Sus scrofa: one gene and its partners. The protein of the gene in region 4 purifies or fractionates together with the protein of the main gene of each other region. This does not show direct contact. Links are inferred from orthologs where the notes say so. Each region holds a gene or a part of one and is shown on either strand. Other genes may lie near its edges. The genes, in order: EXOC7, EXOC3, EXOC8, EXOC1 and EXOC6.

Region 1 (3,515 bases), on a different chromosome or scaffold from region 4:
TTTTTCACATGGGGTTCCTTGGGATACACTTGTTGGGACCTGCTGAAATGTACCACAGCATCCATACTTCTCCAGGCTCGTTTGCATTTTTGGATTGTCCAGTTTTCTTTAGGGCTGCGCCCATGGCATATGGAGGTTCCCAGGCTAGGGGTTGAATCAGAGCTACAGTTGCCAGTCTACCCCACAGCTGCAGCAACGCAGGATCCAAGCCACATCTGTGACCTACACCACAGCTGATGGCAATGCCGGATCCTTAACCCTCTGAGCGAGGCCAGGGGGGATCGAACCTGCAACCTCATGGTTCCTAGTCAGATTCCTTTCCTCTTTGCCATGATGGGAACCCCCATTGCTCTTCTTATTTAGGGAGTTCTTTGGGGGTATTTTCTCAAAGGTACAGTTATCAGGTAGAACTGTCTGAACAGATCTGTAACCTTCTTGCCGTCTCGAGTTCCTCTCCAGGTAGATGGGACCAGTCTGCTGACCTGTTGACAACCCTGCAGTTATTTCTTCTTCATTAATTTTGCTTATCTTAGCTATTTAACAGGGCTGCCACGGTCCTCTAGTTTTTTTAAATTTGCACTTCGTTCATGGCTAAAGAGATGGTGTGTTTTTTCACTCAGTGACATTCGTTGTCTCTTTACCACCTATAAATTTACCAAGTCGAGGAGTGCCCGCTGTGGCACAGTAGATTAAGGATCCAGTGGTGGCGCAGGTTCAATCCCCGGCAAGCGCAGTGGTTAAGGACCCAGCGTTGCCACAGCGATGGCATAGTTCGAAGCTGCAACTCAGATTTGATCCCTGGCCCAGAAACCTCCATGTGCCGTGGGTGTGGCTGAACAAGATAAAAAAGAATACATTACCAAGTTGAATCCGGCTGCTAATTTTCTATTTTCTTAAAATCTCAAAAACTTACCTGCCCAGCAGAAATTGACAGAACGTTGTAGATCAACTATAATAAAAAAAAATTCTAAAAGAAAAAAAACCCCTCACCTTCAGAACTTACAACGAATTATTGGTTCTGCGGGGAAATGTCTTCCCTTTTAAGGCTTTTCCAGATGCAGGACGAGGCCACGAGGCTGCTGGGAAAGGGTCTGCAAGTGGAAAGAGCGGGCCTGCTGCTGCCCTCTGGAGCTGCCTCTGGCGGGGGAGGGGGGCCCCGGGGTCTGGCGGAGGCAGGGACCCAGCTGTCACCCGTCTGTCCGCAGATTTCATGAACGTCTACTACCAGATCCGCTCGAGCCAGCTGGACCGCTCCATCAAAGGCCTGAAGGAGCACTTCCGGAAGAGCAGTTCTTCCTCTGGGGTTCCCTACTCCCCCGCCATCCCCAACAAGAGGAAAGACACACCCACCAAGAAGCCAGTCAAGCGGCCAGGTGAGCCCCCGCCCTGGCCCACTTCAGAACCCGCCAGAAGGCTGTGGGACCTGGGTGGCCTTTGGCCACCCACCCCGGGGTGGGCGGCGCCAGGGCCCTAGGGTTTGTCCTCACGGTAGCCCCTGACTGTAGGGGCACAGGACAGCAGGCAGGTGTCCGCCCCCCAAAAGAGCTCCTCTCTCCACCCAGCCGAGTCTAGGGCTTATATAAGTGTCCTTGGAGTGGAGGGTCACAGCACGGAGACGTGGGGTGACAGGGGTGCCGGAGCAGAGCCACTTATTGGGCCCCCGTCCTCTCCCTCTAGTGTCCTGTTGGGAGGCCAGGCATGCTGCTGCCACCCAGCTGTGAGATTGGGGCAGGGTGTCAGGGGTGCAGGGCGAGGGGCAGGCACTGCAGCCTTCACCTCCCAGAAAGCCAGAGTGGCCTGAAGTGATGAGTAGCTAAGAAGTGGAGAGCAGAGGAGTTCCCTGGTGGCTCAAAGGGTTAAGGATCTGGTGTTGTCACTGCTGTGGCTCTGGTTACTATTGTGGCGCAGGTTCGATCCCTGGCCCGGGAATTTCCACATGCCTCAGCCATGGCAAAAAAAAAGTAGATACAGGAACGTTTATGCTTTTACAGTCAGTCCAGAAAGAAAACCATCCCAGGCCATCCTCTCCAAAGACCCTCACCTGGCTTTTGGGCTCCGCAAGAAGTTGGTGCCTTGCGGTGGGAGAGTTGAGGGAGGGGCATTGAGGTGGAAGAGGCCTGGGCTGTGGCTTGTTGGTTGGCCTGGGCGAGCAGCTCACTGTCTGTCCTTCTTCCCATCATCCTGTCCCCTGTAGTCTCTGCTCCAGGTGACAGTGTCCCTGTGTGTCAGCTTCGGCTTGACAAGCCTGGCTGTTCTGGCTGCTGAGAGGGGTTGCCTTCGAGAGGCCGGGGTGGGGGTTCCAGCGGAGGGGCTGCAGGCACCAGGAGAGAGAGCCAGCGAGCCCTGGGGCTGCTCCCACTTTCGCCCACCCCGTCCAGCTGCTCTGGGACCCGTCCCTTGGGACAGTGTTTTCCCGAGCTGCCCGGCCTCTCAGAGAGCAGGAGATCTGCTCACAGTGGCCCGAGCATCTGCTCCTCCCCAGCGCTTTGTTCAGGGCTTAGAGAAATGGCAGAGGCTGCCCGCAGAGGCACAGCGTCGAGGTCCAGAGGCCGGGCAGCCCAGCAGAAAGTGCACAGCCTTCCCCTCCAGCTTGGCTCTCCTGGCTGCTCCCTCGGAGAACCTGCCACGGTCAGGGACTCTACAAGCCAGCCAGGGCAGCCGCAGCTGCCTGCTCGAGGCCTGGTTCGTGCCTGTGCCTCGTGCATTGGGCTGCGGCTGTTTCCACGAGGCTGCTGGGCCCCGGCCGGGCTGTGCTTTCTTCCCCTCTGTCTCCTCTGGGACCCCTGGAGGCCTGGAACCCAGGCCACATGCAGGATGCTGCTGGCCATGCAGGGACCAGAGATCTGATCTTTGGGCTCCCAGTGGACCTCATCCATCCCAGCCCTGTAGCCCTAGAAGGAAAACGCCGGCTGTGAGCGTCCCTCTGGTTTCTTTGGGGTTTCAAGGGTTGTCCGGAACCTTGGGGCTCAGGTCCGATGTTGGGAGCTAGAGGCAGGCCCCCAGCTCTTGAGGAGAGGGGCAGGGTGGCCTCGGGGGTAACGAGACACCAGCCTCAGCGACATCCGTGGTAACTGGGCGCCTGATGGCTTTAGCGGCTGCCAGATCAGCGTCCCCGACCCACATACATGCCAGTGTGCTGGCGAGGCTCCTGATGGCCCGGCGGGCCCATCTGGTCCTAGTTGGTTGTGGGGCGGGAATCTGAATCGCTCATTAGCAGGACTACTTGCTGAAGGAGGAGAACACAGCGAGACAGGTGCCGGGCTGGAGCCGCACACTGGCTCATGAGTAACTAATTGTGGTTGGCACAAACAGCCGCTCCAGACGCCGTCCCCTCTCCCTCAGTCCTTTGGGGAGCTGCCAGGACCCCAGCAGGCTCCCCGTGTTCAGAGCTGCGGTGGAGGACCTGGGCGTCTCCAGGGAAAAGGGACCAGATCCCACTCAGGGCTGCCTTCCCGGCCCCGGCCCATCTGGTTATCAGGGCAGCTGCGCATGTCTGTTTTCAGTGCTGTTTTTAT
Region 2 (4,197 bases), on a different chromosome or scaffold from region 4:
TGAAGGACACACAGCCACCCCTGCCCACAAGGGCTGTGGCACCCAAGCCATGTTCCTGGAGGTTCAGAGCACCCATCTGTGGCCACTCCCCTGGGACCACGTGCACCAAACTGGTCACGGTTGGTGGACAGGCAGATTAAGCCTTGTTGGTGTGGAATCAGCATCTGGACACCAGCTCTGAGGGGTTTGTGTTCTAAAGGTACCATCATGCTTGGGACCCAGGTCCTGATGTGCCCTGGTCCCTTCCTCTGCTGGGTCGGTGGCAACAAAACTTCCCCCAGTCAGCACTTTTGTGATTTTACAGCCATGCCCCTATGGAAAAATTGTGTGGGGAAGGTGATGATGGAATGTAGAAGGTCAGATCTGGCCATTTCTGTAGGCGTGGCCATTTCTGCTTTAAAATGTCATTACCAGTACTAATTACCGGCTTATATGTTTCTATTGTCTGTAGCTTTTGGCTGTGTAGCTGAGAACATATTAAAATCAAGTATACAGGAATGATATGGAAGGGAAAAGACAAACACAAATTGTATTTTATATTTTTGCAGTTTCTACTGGATGAAAAAAACTTTCAATATGGAGACTGACTCGTTGAATTTTTAAAAATTGGATGCACTATAATGTAACTTTTTGTACTTTTTCTCAGTGCCTTTAGAAAGAGCTTTCAAATGCATTTCTGATACTGTGGTTCTTGTTAAATTCGCAATATGGATGTAAAATAAATGTTAGTATGTGTCTGCTTTAAGTGGAAATGTCTTCTTGATTTTGCAAATGAAGCCCCGCCATCAGATGTTCTAGCTTTGTCTCTGCGAAGTGGTAGTGAGCTGTTCTATGTGCATTTCCTTCCTTCAGTCCATCCCCTGCTGAATACCAGGCCCTGTGATAGTGCTTAAGACACATTAGGAAAAAAAGATGGAGAAATGCGGCTGTGCTGCCGCTGACACCCCTGTGCACGTGTACAGGGGACGGGGTGCAGATAAGTGACCCAAGAGCTGGGTAAATTCTGCAACGCCTCTGGAGGGAACATGGCGGCACAGATGGAACAGCTGGGGTCTTATAGCCAAGCGGCGATTTTGTGGGAAAGGCGGCCTCTGGGCCAAGACGGGGCAGGAGGTGGAGGAGGCCCAGGGACTGGAGGCCCCGCGAGGGCGGGGGCTGGGAGGTTTGGGTTTATAGGGCCACCGCACTGGGGGACTCATACACCTGCCCCCACGTGCCCCCTGCCCCCACGAGCCCAGGCGTGTGCATGTGTGTGCTTGTGCGCCCCGTGTGTGCGGTGTGGCCTGTCTATATGTGGTGTGTGTAGGGTGTCTGCGTGCCTGTGACGTCCGTGAGAGGCGTCTCCGCGCTGGGTGTATGCGCTCGCGCTCCGCCCCTCAGGCTTCAGCCCAGCCGCCCGGTTCCCGGCTCCGCGCTCGTCCCGCAGCCCCGGCCGACTCTCGGCGGGTGCCGGTCGACAGCGGGTCCCGGTCGACAGCGGGTCCCTATCGACAGCGGGTCCCGAAATCTCCCAGCTCTGTGCACAGGGACCCGCCCAACAAAGGTCCCGCCCGCCGGGCCCACCCCCTTCCGGTCACGAGGCCGGAAGCGGAAGTGCCGGTCGCGGCTCACTTCCGGGCGGCGGCGGCGGCGGCTCGCAAGGTGAGGCCGCTGCGGGCGGGTGGCACAGTCCGGGAGTCGCGGTCCGTGGCCGCTGTCCTCTCCCCGGGCTCGGGCGGGTGCGGGCGCGGCCGGAAGGCAGTGCGGGAGGCCGTGGGAGGCCCGGGGACGGTCCGTGGAGAGGCTGACGGCGCGCCAGGCGGTGGGGAGTAGCAGGTGCAGAGCTGCGGGCGCGGCTGGGGGTCCGCGGCGGAGACGGGCGGGGAGACACGCCGGCGCCCCCCAGCCCCGTGTGTCCCGTCGTGTGCGCGGTGCCCTAGTCAGCACCGGGAGGGGAGAGACGGCGCCACAGCACATTCCGAGAGAACACGGAACGCACTCGTGTGCAGACGGGGGAGTTATTTCACAGGTCCCTCAAGGGTCTCCGCGGACCTCGCGTTGCTTTGAGAAATATCTTTGAGAAGCCGTGCGCAGAAAATGTGCATGGAAATGGACTTCAGTAGCTGAAGTCAGTCCTCTGCTTTGCCGAAAGCTCAGCAGGCGTCGCCAGCTCCCTGGCTGGCAGGTTGGAGGAGCTGGCGCTGAAGGCAGGTGTGCTTGTATGCAGCATCTGTGCTGTGTACATTGCATCTGAGCAGAGTGCCTTGTGCCCTCTCACCTCTGTTTACTAGGGCTGTTAAGCAGTAGGGAATGGAATTTTGGGTGCTACAGACAGTGATTTTGAGGGGGATCAGAGGATGGTGCTCAAACTTGAGCAGGCACGGTAAAGTGTGTGCTGTCACTGTGCCTCCATAGCTTTCCTGAGGCGTCCTGGCACCTCGGCCCCACTGGCTAGTCAGGGCTGGTGGCAATTAGAAATTGGACCTGTCCGGGGGAGATTGACATCTGAGGTGCTGAGTAGTCTGGATCCGCATGTTAATATCTTATGCTTGTAATTGCCTCTGCGCCCCTTAGGGATAACACTGGGTTCTGAAGGTTTGTGTTTCATATCAAGGAGGTCATAATCCTAGCTCAGCTGTGTTTCATGTCTATTAGATTAATGATCTCAAATGCTCTCCTTATAGCTCCACTGTGAACAACTGAATGTTACTGGAGCAGGGGGATGCTTTGTACCTGACATCTCTACCTTCCTGACACATCCTCCTCTCCTGTTCTGTCTCTGCCTGTGGACACAGGGTATCCCTAGTATGACAGGTGCAGAGATTCTGCCTGCTCTGTAACCATGAAGGAGACGGACCGGGAGGCTGTTGCAACAGCTGTCCAGAGGGTTGCCGGGATGCTCCAGCGCCCGGACCAGCTGGACAAAGTGGAGCAGTACCGCAGAAGAGAGGCCAGGAAGAAGGCCTCCGTGGAAGCCAGGCTGAAGGTATGAGACTGGAGTGGAGACTGGGGTGGCTGTGGGCGCCTGCTTCACTCTCAGGCTGGACCGAGCCTTTTGTCCCAAGTTCAGGTTCCTGCTTAGCAGAATCATTGTAATTTTGCCGAGCTGGGCTTTGTGATGCCATGAAGAGAGGCAGGCCATGGACTTTGCCTTTGTTAGTGCATCCTTTCCAACAGTTCCTTGCCAGCCGGTAGGTTTATAGAGAAGACCGTGGGAAGATTTAAAAAGCCAGAGGAACAGTCTTTTAAGCACCCAGAAGTGTCCATTTAACTATTTAAAAAAACACTTATTTACTAAAAACTTTCCTTCAGACTGTGTCCAGAGGGCATTTCGTTTGGATCCTGCTAGCACACACAGCAGGAGGCTGACTGTGTGCCAGGCACTCTGCAGGCCCTGGGATGGGAAAGAGGAGAGCTGACCACATTTACTAGAGTGTGTGAGAGTGAGGCAAGAAAGAAAGGCGGCAGCCTTTTATGATTTAGATTGGCTTTCAGCTCATTTCATGTGGAGAGATGAGGTTCTTTTAAAATAATGCACATTTGGTACAGTTATAAAAAAGTTAAGAACCTGGCCTGTTATAGTTGCCTGGCAGCACAGCAGTCTTTGCGGATTTAAGAGAATGCCTTTGATACATGTACACAATGAAATATTACTCAGCCATTAAAAGTAAAGAAAGAATGGCATTTGTAGCAACGTGGTTGGACCAAGAAAATTATCATGCCAAGTGGAGTTAGACAGTGAGACACCAATGTCATATGCTGTCACATGTGGAATTGAAAAAAGGGCACAAGGAACTTCTTTGCATAACAGACACTAACTCACTTTGAAAAACTTTCGGTTTCCAAAGGAGACAGGTTGGGGGTGGGGGGATGGGCTGGGGGTTTGGGATAGAAATGCTGTAAAATTTGGTTGTGATGATTGTTGTACACCTACAAATGGAATAAAATTCATTGAGTTAAAAACACAAAGGGAGAGAATGGCTGTGAGGAAGGTGAATCTTCCCAGCGAGGCGGCAGTGAGGCCCCCTCCAGGTGAAAAGCATTGGTAGCGTCCAGATAATGGCGAGTGTGATGAGATGGAAGGGTGATCACTCATTTGCACCAGCAAAGCATTGAAAGACCTGTTAGGCTGGCTTGAAACAGTTTCATGTCAATTTTAAAAATAGTTTAGACCTGCTACTTTTTTGTGTGTGTGCTTTTTTTAGGGCCGTACCAGTG
Region 3 (3,994 bases), on a different chromosome or scaffold from region 4:
GTGTTCAGCTACACCTTAAACTTGTTAACTCCGTTGGTGTACAGGAGTCGTTTATTTCAAAAGGGGTTTTCTCCAACTCAGCGGGTAAGAAAAGGGTCCTTTCACAGGGCTCCCGGAAGACCCCCGCGTCCCAAAGTTATGGAAACATAGACCCCTTCCCAAGCTGACACACGGCTCACTGCAAGGCAGCGGCGCCGTAAAGACCACAGCTGAGGACAGCACACTTCCCGGCGCCCTCAGCATCTTTAGGGGCCGATTCTGGCTGTTTCTCCCTCCTGGGTCCTAGATCAGAAAGGGGAAAGGGGTGAACTCATTTTCCTGGAAACTGAGAAACATCCTTCTCTCTCACTGTGTTCCTTACCGGTCAGATCGCCGCGGGGTGGGCCACACGGCTTTCTGAGAGCTAACCAAGGGCAGTGAGAGAGGAAGGAAGGGAAGGGAGAGGAAGCCCGAGAACGGCTGGCTGTCCCTAGACCCGACCCGGGTCACTGCCCCGGCGCCGGGGCAGCGGAAGGGCCGCCAGCTGTCCGGTCCCGGCGGGCTCGGCACTCACAGCGTCATCCGCACGCTCCACTTCACTTCCACCGCCTCCAGTTTGCCCCAGAAGAAACGATCGTTGAACTGCACAAACAGGGCCTGCAAATCCGGCGTGGGGTCCACCAACTCCCAGGACGCGTCCACCAGCGACAGGGGCTCCTGGGCCGGATTGCGCTCCGAGACCTGCAAGTTCCACTCTTCCTGAAGCCGAAGAGCCAGAACCAGGTCCTCATCCATGGCTGCCCGGCTACCAGGCGGAGTCCAGATGGCTCAGAGAGCCTAGCCGTGCTCCTAGGAGATACCAGCTCCCAGGCCACTCTCGGGTCAGGCCACAGATCTCGCGAGACCTAGTAAACTCCGGCTCGAGAAAGAGAACCGAGCGTGCCCCGAACTCCAGTCAAGATTCTAGGGCTTAAAACAACAAAGAAAATTCAGCATGACACCTCCTAGTGGGCTCAACACTTGGGTTCCCGAAGCTTGAGCCCGAGGAAGGTTTCAAGTAGCCGGATACCGCCTTTACGGTTCGCGGGTACGGTCAAACATCAACGTCATGCTCGGCCCATGCGCAGTATCTACACCTCGCTGCTCCGCCCTCCACTCGCTTCCGCAGGAGCTTCTCCGGCGCATGCGCCCTAGGCCACTGGCGACCCTGCGCCGGCGCGCTGTTTGCGAGGGGCATCTTGCGCAGGCGCAGTGTCCGGACTTCAGACCCGGGCGCAGGCGTACTCGCCTGTCTTCCATCCTGCTTCCTCAGCCCTGGACTCGGCCGGGTTGGGTGGGCCTCGACAGTGGCGGCGGCGGCAGCGGCGGCGGTAGTAATAGTGACAGTGACTACGTGAGTCCCCGACGGAAATGGCGATGGCGATGTCAGACAGTGGGGCGAGCCGCCTGCGGCGGCAGCTGGAGTCGGGCAGCTTCGAGGCGCGGCTGTACGTGAAGCAGCTCTCGCAGCAGTCGGACGGGGACCGGGACCTGCAGGAGCACCGGCAGCGCATCCAGGCGCTGGCGGAGGAGACGGCGCAGAACCTGAAGCGTAACGTCTACCAGAACTACCGGCAGTTCATAGAGACGGCCCGCGAGATCTCCTACCTGGAGAGCGAGATGTACCAGCTTAGCCATCTGCTGACCGAGCAGAAGAGCAACCTGGAGAGCATCCCGCTCACCCTGCTGCCGGCCGCCGCCGCAGCCGCTGCTGGGGCCGCCACCGCCTCCGGAGGGGAGGAGGGTGGAGGCAGCGCGGGGGGCCGCGATCACCTCCGGGGCCAGGCTGGCTTTTTCCCAAGTCCCGGGGGCGCCTCCCGCGACAGTTCTGGTCCGGGCGAGGAAGGGAAGCAGCGCACTCTTACCACTCTGCTGGAGAAGGTGGAAGGCTGCAGGCACCTGCTGGAGACGCCGGGACAGTACCTGGTGTACAACGGGGACCTGGTGGAATACGAGGCGGATCATATGGCCCAGTTGCAGCGAGTGCACGGCTTTCTCATGAACGACTGTTTGCTGGTGGCCACCTGGTTGCCACAGCGGCGGGGGATGTATCGCTACGACGCCCTCTATCCCCTGGATGGTTTGGCCGTAGTCAATGTCAAGGACAATCCCCCCATGAAGGACATGTTCAAGTTGCTAATGTTTCCCGAGAGTCGTATTTTTCAGGCGGAAAATGCAAAAATCAAACGCGAGTGGCTGGAAGTGTTGGAGGAAACCAAGAGGGCCCTCAGTGAGAAAAGACGCAGGGAGCAGGAGGAGGCAGCGGCCCCTCGAGGGCCACCCCAAGTGACTTCCAAGGCCAGCAACCCGTTTGAAGATGAAGACGACGACGAACCAGCTGTTCCTGAGGCGGAAGAAGAGAAGGTGGACCTCTCAATGGAATGGATCCAGGAATTGCCCGAAGACCTGGATGTTTGCATCGCCCAGAGGGACTTTGAAGGGGCCGTTGACCTGCTGGATAAGTTGAACCAGTACCTGGAAGATAAGCCCAGTCCACCTGCTGTAAAAGAACTGAGGGCCAGAGTGGATGAGCGTGTCCGCCAGCTCACCGAGGTGCTGGTTTTTGAACTCTCCCCGGATCGGTCCCTGAGAGGCGGTCCCAAGGCTACGCGTCGGGCCGTTTCTCAACTAATCCGGCTTGGCCAGTGCACTAAGGCTTGCGAGCTGTTCTTGAGAAACAGGGCAGCAGCTGTGCATACCGCAATCCGCCAGCTTCGCATCGAGGGTGCCACCTTACTCTATATTCACAAGCTCTGCCACGTCTTCTTCACCAGCCTTCTCGAGACGGCCAGGGAGTTTGAGGCGGACTTCGCAGGCACCGACGGGGGCTGCTACTCGGCCTTCGTGGTCTGGGCGAGGTCAGCCCTGGGCACGTTTGCGGCTGCCTTTAGCAAACAGGTGTTCGACAGTAAGGAGAGCCTCTCCACTGCAGCTGAGTGTGTGAAGGTGGCCAAGGAGCATTGTCAGCAGCTGGGTGACATCGGGCTAGACCTCACCTTCATCATCCACACCCTCCTGGTGAAAGACATCCAGGGGGCCTTGCACAGCTACAAGGAAATCATCATCGAAGCCACTAAGCATCGCAACTCAGAGGAGATGTGGAGGAGGATGAACTTGATGACTCCAGAGGCCCTGGGTAAACTCAAAGAGGAGATGAAGAGCTGTGGGGTGAGGAACTTTGAGCAGTACACGGGGGATGACTGCTGGGTGAACCTGAGTTACACGGTGGTGGCTTTCACCAAACAGACCATGGGCTTCTTGGAAGAGGCGCTGAAGCTGTATTTCCCGGAGCTGCACATGGTGCTGTTGGAGAGCCTGGTGGAAATCATTTTGGTTGCTGTTCAGCATGTGGATTACAGTCTTCGGTGTGAGCAGGATCCAGAGAAGAAGAATTTTATCAGACAGAATGCATCCTTTCTGTACGAAACAGTCCTGCCTGTGGTGGAGAAAAGGTTTGAGGAAGGTGTGGGGAAACCCGCCAAGCAACTTCAGGACCTGAGAAATGCATCGAGACTGATTCGTGTGAATCCCGAAAGTACAACGTCAGTGGTCTGACACCTGGACCTGTTTATGTGTATACGTATATATGGCTTATATATATTATTTATATTTATATTAAGTTGCATTAGCGTATTCTTTATAGTCTCAAACACAGCCTAAAAATAAAAGATGCCTTCTCAGAAATGCGAAAATCAAAAGGAGATTGAAAAACATGTTAAACCCACGTAACAAAAACATTGAATTAGTAGAACATACAATATGCTTTCCTTTTAAATTATGCTAACTCTCTAATGACTATATATCGTCACACCAGAGCATTTCAACTTGTGTTTTGAAAGTTTCCCAGTTCACTAGGTTTCTTAAAGGGCACAGTGCCATTCCTGCCTCGTGTACTTCTGCACCTTAAAATGTGGTTGAACAATTTGGGGAAAAGAAAGGAGGAGTTGAGAAAACTGGTTTCAGGGTAAATTTTGGT
Region 4 (3,515 bases):
GAGGGATTGACAGAGATCATGATGCTCCACTTGGCGTTTTACGTCAATATTACAAAGTATAGAAACATTCTGTAGCTGATAGAATTGGAAGAGGTGTCAGAGATGACCTAATCTACTGCCAGTCAATTTACAGAAACACCATATACCATTACTGATGCTTGTTCAGCCTGCAGAGATCCACAATACTGAGGCATGGTCCCTCGCCTTGATAGAGAGGACAGTATACTTTCCTGAAATACTGCATAAAAAGGGGGAATATAAACACAGTCTGGAGTTCCCTTGGTGGCTTAGTGGTTAACGAACTCAACTAGGATCCATGAGGATGTGGGTTCGATCCCTGGCCTTGCTCAGTGGGTTAAGGATCTTGTATGGTGTTGTGGCTGTGGTGTAGGCCAGCAGCTACAGCTCCAATTAGAATCCTAGCCTGGGAACTTCCACATGCCGCTGGTGCAGCCCTAAAGAAATAAAAATAAACACAATCTGATAAAGCGGCTGAGTAGATGTGTGTATCAGCCTATGTTACTCTGCTGTCAAAGAGATTTATTGCTATTTCACTTTTATCCCTCTTTTACACATTCTAAGAGTAGGAAGTATTTTCTTTTTAACATCATAGGCCAACATCCAGTCAATCATGGCCTCGGAGAAGCAAGTGAACACCCTCATGAAGCTGCTGGATGAGGCTCTGGATGAGGTGGATCAGATCGAAGTGAAGCTGAGCAGCTATGAGGAAATGCTCCAGAGCGTGAAAGAGCAAATGGATCAGATCTCAGAGAGCAACCACCTGATTCACCTTAGCAACACCAACAATGTCAAACTTTTGTCCGAGATAGAGTTCCTTGTGGTGAGTGTGATTATAAATTACCAGCAACAATAAAGCAATCTAAAGGGAGTCCCTATCATGGCTCAGCAGTAACAAACCCGACTAGGATCCGTGAGGACACAGGTTCAATCCATGGCCTTGCTCAGTGGGTTAAGGATCCAGCTTTGCCATGAGCTGTGGTGTGGAGGCCAGGAGCTGCAGCTCCAATTCAGCCCCTAGGCTGAGAACTTCTGAATGCCGATGGTACAGCCCTAAAAAGAAAAAAAAGAAACATGATAATATGTAAAACCTGTGTGTAAACATTTTCAAATTCTCTTGGAGCAAAATTTAAAACCCTGTAATTCCAAAGACCTAGTGGCAGGATTGAGTAGCATTTTACCTGTAAATTTCCCAAGCTTACGTGTGCAGATGGTGTATTTATTGTATATTCCAGAACCACCTGGACTTGGCCAAAGGTCACATAAAGGCGCTTCAGGAAGGAGACCTGGCGTCCTCACGGGGCATCGAGGCCTGTACCAATGCCGCGGACGCCCTCCTGCAGTGCATGAATGTGGCTCTTCGACCAGGTGTGTTCACTGCAGGCCAGGAAACCTGCCCTTGAACCTGAGTAAAGCCTGTGACTTGGTATAAAGCTTGACAAGAAACACATGGGGCAAGTTGTTCAGGTGACATTATTCTACTCAAACAAGTTTCATTTATTTTCAAACTCAATTTGTACTGGCACTAAGAAGTTTTTGATCAGTTCCTTCCAATTGACCAGTGATGATTCTCACTGACGTGATTTTTCTTCAGTGCTGTCTACAGAACCTAGCATAAAGGAGATGACGTGTGGTTTTGCTAAGCCAGCAGTCCAAAAACTAGAGTTGGCATCAAAATCACCTAGATAGCTTGTTAAAGTACACATTGCCAGATGCCACGCCCAGAATCGTAGGTCTGGGCTGAGCCTTAGAATCCACATCTCTCACTGTCCCCAGATGGTGCTGGGGCAGGCACCCTGGAGGAAACCCCGGTGCTGTACTATCTTAACCATTACCTTCCTTTCTTAAAGCAAACGAATAAACTAGTAAAACTCTGGGTTCTTTAAAACTGAAGTGTGAATACTGTTACAAATGTATTCATTAAACCTGGAGGAGCTCTATTTACCCATTAAATAACTCAAGAAATGTTATGGTTTCAGGCCACGACCTGCTTCTGGCAGTCAAGCAGCAACAGCAGCGTTTCAGTGATTTGCGGGAGCATTTTGCCAGGAGGCTAGCCAGTCATCTCAACAATGTTTTTGTTCAGCAGGTAATTTTACTTTATTATTAATATTAGCATTTTTCTGTAGGTTGTTCATATATTTGCTTAAAATTAAATTCTCACAGGAGTTCCCATTGTGGTTCAGTAGATTAAGGACCCAGCAGTCTCCATGAGGATGTGGGTTTGATCCCTGGCCTCGCTCAGTGGGTTAAGGATCCGGCGTTGCCATGAGCTGTGGTGTAGGTTCACAGATTCAGCTTGGATCTGGTGTTGCTGTGGCTGTGGTGCAGGCCAGCAGCTGCAGCCCTGATTCAGCCCGTAGCCTGGGAACCTCCATATGCCATAGGTGCAGCCATAAAAAGACAAAAAAGTTAAATTCCCACAAAAAATGTTAATGTGTGTAATTGGGGTCATAGTATATTCTTACACACGTTCATTTGATTATAATATCTTTAAATATGTGCATATTTGCTCATAGATGTATTTTGGCCCTCAACAGCCTCCTTTGGAAGACAGTCTAGTTCCTTTTAGCTAAAACTGAGTTTTTTTACTATTTGACCTGTTTTATTTTTCAATATTTTGGAGTGAGAACTAGGACTAAATTCCATGCTTTAAGTATGCCATTGGCTGCATGTACTTATATATATGAAAAATGAGGGAGTTCCCTGGTAGCCTAGTGGTTAAGACTTGGCAGTCTTACCACTTCAGCCTGGGTTCAATCCCTGGTCTGAGAACAGCGATGCCATATCAAGCCACTGCATGCTGCAACAACAACAACAAAAAAGACAGAGAGAAATGACTAACTGGGCTGTTAATTCCAGTAGGTTTAATCTTATATAAGCTCTTTGTCTGCACTTTTACATGGAAAGGGATCTTATAATTGATGTGTGGCAATGAAATTAATGTTAATAATATTATTAAGAGTACCTTAGATTTGAACAGAACATATTTTAATATGTAATAAATTAGATTTTGTGTACTTTATCTCTTATTTTAATAGGGTTTAGGGGAAAAATTTGAGGGTAATTTTGTTCATCAAGAGATACTCTCTGAAACACTGGATTCTTCTTTTCACTTTGCAGTGTTCTGAAGCAGTCATATTTACTGTGTTTTATTTCCCATTAGTTTACTCAGGCCCTCCTTCAGCTCTATAACAGGTCCTACTTTCTTTCGGTGCCTGTGAGTACATCAACTTTGGCTCCAGCTTCTCTGATTCTTTTTTTTTTTTTTTTTTTTTTTGTTGTAACTTTTACTAAACTTAACGGCAGCAGAATCTTTACAGATTATAATTTGCTAACCTAAGCTACCCGTTAACCATATTTGTAGCATTTTTTTCAATGTGCCGGTAACAAAAAGTTGAGCCAAAAGGAGCATTTAATCTCAGTCTTCTGCTTCCTTCCTGTCATTCTTTCACTCCTTTGTTTATTTAGAAATCTTTGCCAAGTGATTAGAGATA
Region 5 (3,211 bases), on a different chromosome or scaffold from region 4:
GAAAAGCAACCTCTGACAATTTTAGTAATTTCAAAAGTGAAAAGATATTATACACTATGTTGGTTATAAAATGTAGTTAATGCAGTTTTTAAGAATGAATTTCCTTATTATGTTCCATCTGAGAAGCAGGTCACATTAAAATGGATCAAGAGCAGCATATACTTTATATTATCTGTAGATAAATAGCCAAAAATTGGTTTAACGTGTTTCCACATCTTCCTCAGCTCCTTGATCTGTTTATGGTTTGGGACTGGTCTACTTATCTAGCTGATTATGGTCAGCCAGCTTCCAAGTACCTTCGGGTGAATCCAAACACAGCCCTTACTCTTCTAGAGAAGTGAGTATATTCTGCAGTTTTCTTTGCATACCATTTAAGCATTTTGCGATTCAGTGATACTTGAAGAACTAGGGATTTTTATCAAAAGAAAAATGTCTCCATGAGCTTCCAAGTTCAGTTCTTTTCAATGACCAAAACTTAAGCCTCTGTCTTACTCGCCTTCAATGTCAGTGTAATTTTATATGAGATTGCTGTTTACGTTGATATGAACAAAACATTTTTCCTATTGTACCCTCAATACCTGGCTTAATTGGCTTTAGAAATACGTTTACTGGAGGTAAGTGAGAATTGGAACTATTTTTTAAAAATACTGTAACACAGGAAAGAAGGTATTTTGTAAAACATAGCCAGGGATTGGAATGTTTGCCACCAGTGCTGTCTAAATCCTACCATGATGGGCTTGGATTCTTTACAGGTAGAGAAGTATGAGTTTTGAAAAAATAATATTATAAAAACTGAATTAACCAGCGCGCCCTTTCCAGTTAGTAATAACACAACTGTAGGTACTACTTTTCCTTCTCATTATGTGGCAGGTTTTCTTTTCACTTTAGCCTATTTCATTTCATTTTTTTAATCATTTTTCACTTTAAATATCACTATTACAATTTTCAATTTTCCCACATTTCAGAATATCTGTGGTGTATTTGATTTGAGAGAAAACAAATACCTATTTTAAATAAATGTAAACTTGTTTTACAGTGCCATAAAACACAACTGAGGCAAAAAATTTGCTGCTTTAAATTTTCTAGTGTTACTTTTGCTTTCACCCTGTCTTGCTCTGAGTGATACGCAAAGTCTAGAGGGTATATGTTTTAGCATACTTTATGAATGGTATGAGAAAACTTAACATGCTTTATATTTGCATACTAATGCAAAAAGAGGACTTCATATAGAATGCAAAATAAAGCTGCTAATAATCTGTGTGGTTGCTATCTCTGTAATTCTATTAGTAGTACCTATTTTCTTTGAAGTATATTTTTCAAGCATAGGATTAGGGTGAGCTAATCCAGAGCACACCGAGATATTTTACTTGTGACAGTGCAACTTTTAATTTCCTTTTACTAATAAACATTTCATAATAATTCACATATATTCCTAGGATGAAGGATACTAGCAAAAAGAACAATATATTTGCTCAATTCAGAAAGAATGATCGAGACAAACAGAAGTTGATAGAGACAGTCGTGAAACAGCTGAGAAGTTTGGTGAATGGTATGTCCCAGCACTCATAGACTTCACATCGCTTGCACTCAGTGACACCAAATCCGTGACTCATCATTGATCTCTGACAGGCACTGCTCATGATACAGAAAGTTGTTTGAAGAATTCGAAAATACATTAGAGAAAAGACACTGATGAGAGCTTAAACAAGAAACAATTATAAATATCATTTGTATGGATTTTTAAATAATTGAATACTATTTTATATATGGAAAATGTGACATTAATTTTTTTCACTTTTAGGGAAAAAAGGCAAGACTGTAATATATAAATAAGGTCAAAATGTATATGAAACTGATTGTAAATATATTAGAAAAACTTACGTCTCTACATATAAGTATTCTTTTTCTATTTAGACGTAAATGATTTTTTCTGGGTTTTTTTTTTTCCCTCAGTATCTGGTTTTGGAATGCAATTATGTCTGATATTTCATTTTCTGACCTTTTAGCTTGAATTTTTACCTTAGTGTGATTTAAGTAGACTAAGTTTTCCAATTCTGCTGATTCTGAGGAAGGAATAGACAAATCTTTAAAGGCCACTGAAATCAAACTTGATTTAACCCAATAAGAATGTGAATTATTTGTTCTACTGAGGTGGTTTAATTTAATCTGAAGCTATGAAGAAAAGGTGTTTGGATTTTCTACAGAGGCAATGTTGTTTCTGTTCAGCAGGATTAATATTTCTAACTATATTGTTTGTGGCTGACCCTATTTATTTAGTTTGGTTTGGTTCAAGTTAGAAGGACAGAAACTAAACGGCTAACCACCTCAGATGCAGCTTGTGCTAGGATAGAAGTGTTCCTACACACAGAAGTCACCACAGGGGTCAGGTTACCTTCTTCAAAGAGCAGCTCTGAGTACTGTATCCTTACTGTGGAAACAAACCAAACCGAATGAACTCTGGAAAACCCAAAACGAATGTACATTTACTCTGTGTAAAGTACTACGGTCCAAATGGCAATGTCAGCCTGATCCTTACTTTCTCTTCATTGTATTTATGCTGAATGGTCCTTTTGCATTTTCAGGATTTATGCCTGTAAGAAACTTATGTTTGACTCTGTAAAAATAAGTGTAAAGAATTACATGTATGTTTTTTGATTTTGTGATGAAATATTAAAAAGGTTGAGCAAGTTGAAAATTCATTACTATTGTATCTATTTAGAGCCACTTAAAATAACTGCTTCCTTCAGAAAGGCTATTATTCTCTGGTAATTGGAAAGTGTCATCAAAGCAAAGAAAACAATCATATATTCCCTTGGCCAGCTCTTATTCAAAAGTATTTAACATTTTAAAAAACGTTACATAGAAAACATGGTAACAATACAATCTGGAAGTTACAAGAGAAGCAGAATGGGTGAACAGCTAGTTCACCTCAAAGCTAGCTCTCTCTGAGGACTGGAATGTGGTGTCCCTTGGGTGCCTTACCCAGCCCTCCAGGGCACTCAGAACGTCTCCAGCTTGGGCTGAGGCATCCTCGATTCGGAGAGAGAGACATGCTGTCTTTGCACTGCCTGCGGCAGACCACTGTGGGTCCTCAGCAGTGATGGATTTGAGGAGTTCACTTTACTCTTTTCAGTAAAACAAGCACCCTGCACTCTCCCCCACCCCCAACTTCGAGTTGCGCGCTGTAGCGACTATAACCCTGAGACCTGGG

The links.
Region 1: the proteins of EXOC1 (region 4) and EXOC7 purify together in Homo sapiens (affinity purification with mass spectrometry; 4 studies listed by BioGRID and IntAct, counting the BioPlex papers as one, with this or other methods). This does not show direct contact. The link is inferred for Sus scrofa from reciprocal best matches to the Homo sapiens genes EXOC1 and EXOC7.
Region 2: the proteins of EXOC1 (region 4) and EXOC3 purify together in Homo sapiens (affinity purification with mass spectrometry; 5 studies listed by BioGRID and IntAct, counting the BioPlex papers as one, with this or other methods). This does not show direct contact. The link is inferred for Sus scrofa from reciprocal best matches to the Homo sapiens genes EXOC1 and EXOC3.
Region 3: the proteins of EXOC1 (region 4) and EXOC8 purify together in Homo sapiens (affinity purification with mass spectrometry; 3 studies listed by BioGRID and IntAct, counting the BioPlex papers as one, with this or other methods). This does not show direct contact. The link is inferred for Sus scrofa from reciprocal best matches to the Homo sapiens genes EXOC1 and EXOC8.
Region 5: the proteins of EXOC1 (region 4) and EXOC6 purify together in Homo sapiens (affinity purification with mass spectrometry; 4 studies listed by BioGRID and IntAct, counting the BioPlex papers as one, with this or other methods). This does not show direct contact. The link is inferred for Sus scrofa from reciprocal best matches to the Homo sapiens genes EXOC1 and EXOC6.

The regions. Positions count from the first base shown.
Region 1 is NC_010454.4:5,341,483-5,344,997, forward strand, and holds part of EXOC7 (exocyst complex component 7), read left to right. Parts: intron 1-1,205; coding exon 1,206-1,373; intron 1,374-3,515. UniProt on the Homo sapiens protein: Component of the exocyst complex involved in the docking of exocytic vesicles with fusion sites on the plasma membrane.
Region 2 is NC_010458.4:79,727,468-79,731,664, reverse strand, and holds the start of EXOC3 (exocyst complex component 3), read left to right. Parts: upstream 1-1,392; 5' UTR 1,393-1,641; exon of another isoform or gene 1,642-1,815; intron 1,816-2,774; 5' UTR 2,775-2,821; coding exon 2,822-2,965; intron 2,966-4,197. UniProt on the Homo sapiens protein: Component of the exocyst complex involved in the docking of exocytic vesicles with fusion sites on the plasma membrane.
Region 3 is NC_010456.5:59,191,158-59,195,151, forward strand, and holds the start of EXOC8 (exocyst complex component 8), read left to right. Parts: upstream 1-1,187; 5' UTR 1,188-1,389; coding exon 1,390-3,573; 3' UTR 3,574-3,994. UniProt on the Homo sapiens protein: Component of the exocyst complex involved in the docking of exocytic vesicles with fusion sites on the plasma membrane.
Region 4 is NC_010450.4:55,209,890-55,213,404, forward strand, and holds part of EXOC1 (exocyst complex component 1), read left to right. Parts: intron 1-613; coding exon 614-841; intron 842-1,253; coding exon 1,254-1,386; intron 1,387-1,997; coding exon 1,998-2,107; intron 2,108-3,184; coding exon 3,185-3,238; intron 3,239-3,515.
Region 5 is NC_010456.5:104,546,940-104,550,150, forward strand, and holds the end of EXOC6 (exocyst complex component 6), read left to right. Parts: intron 1-224; coding exon 225-337; intron 338-1,436; coding exon 1,437-1,569; 3' UTR 1,570-2,699; downstream 2,700-3,211. UniProt on the Homo sapiens protein: Component of the exocyst complex involved in the docking of exocytic vesicles with fusion sites on the plasma membrane.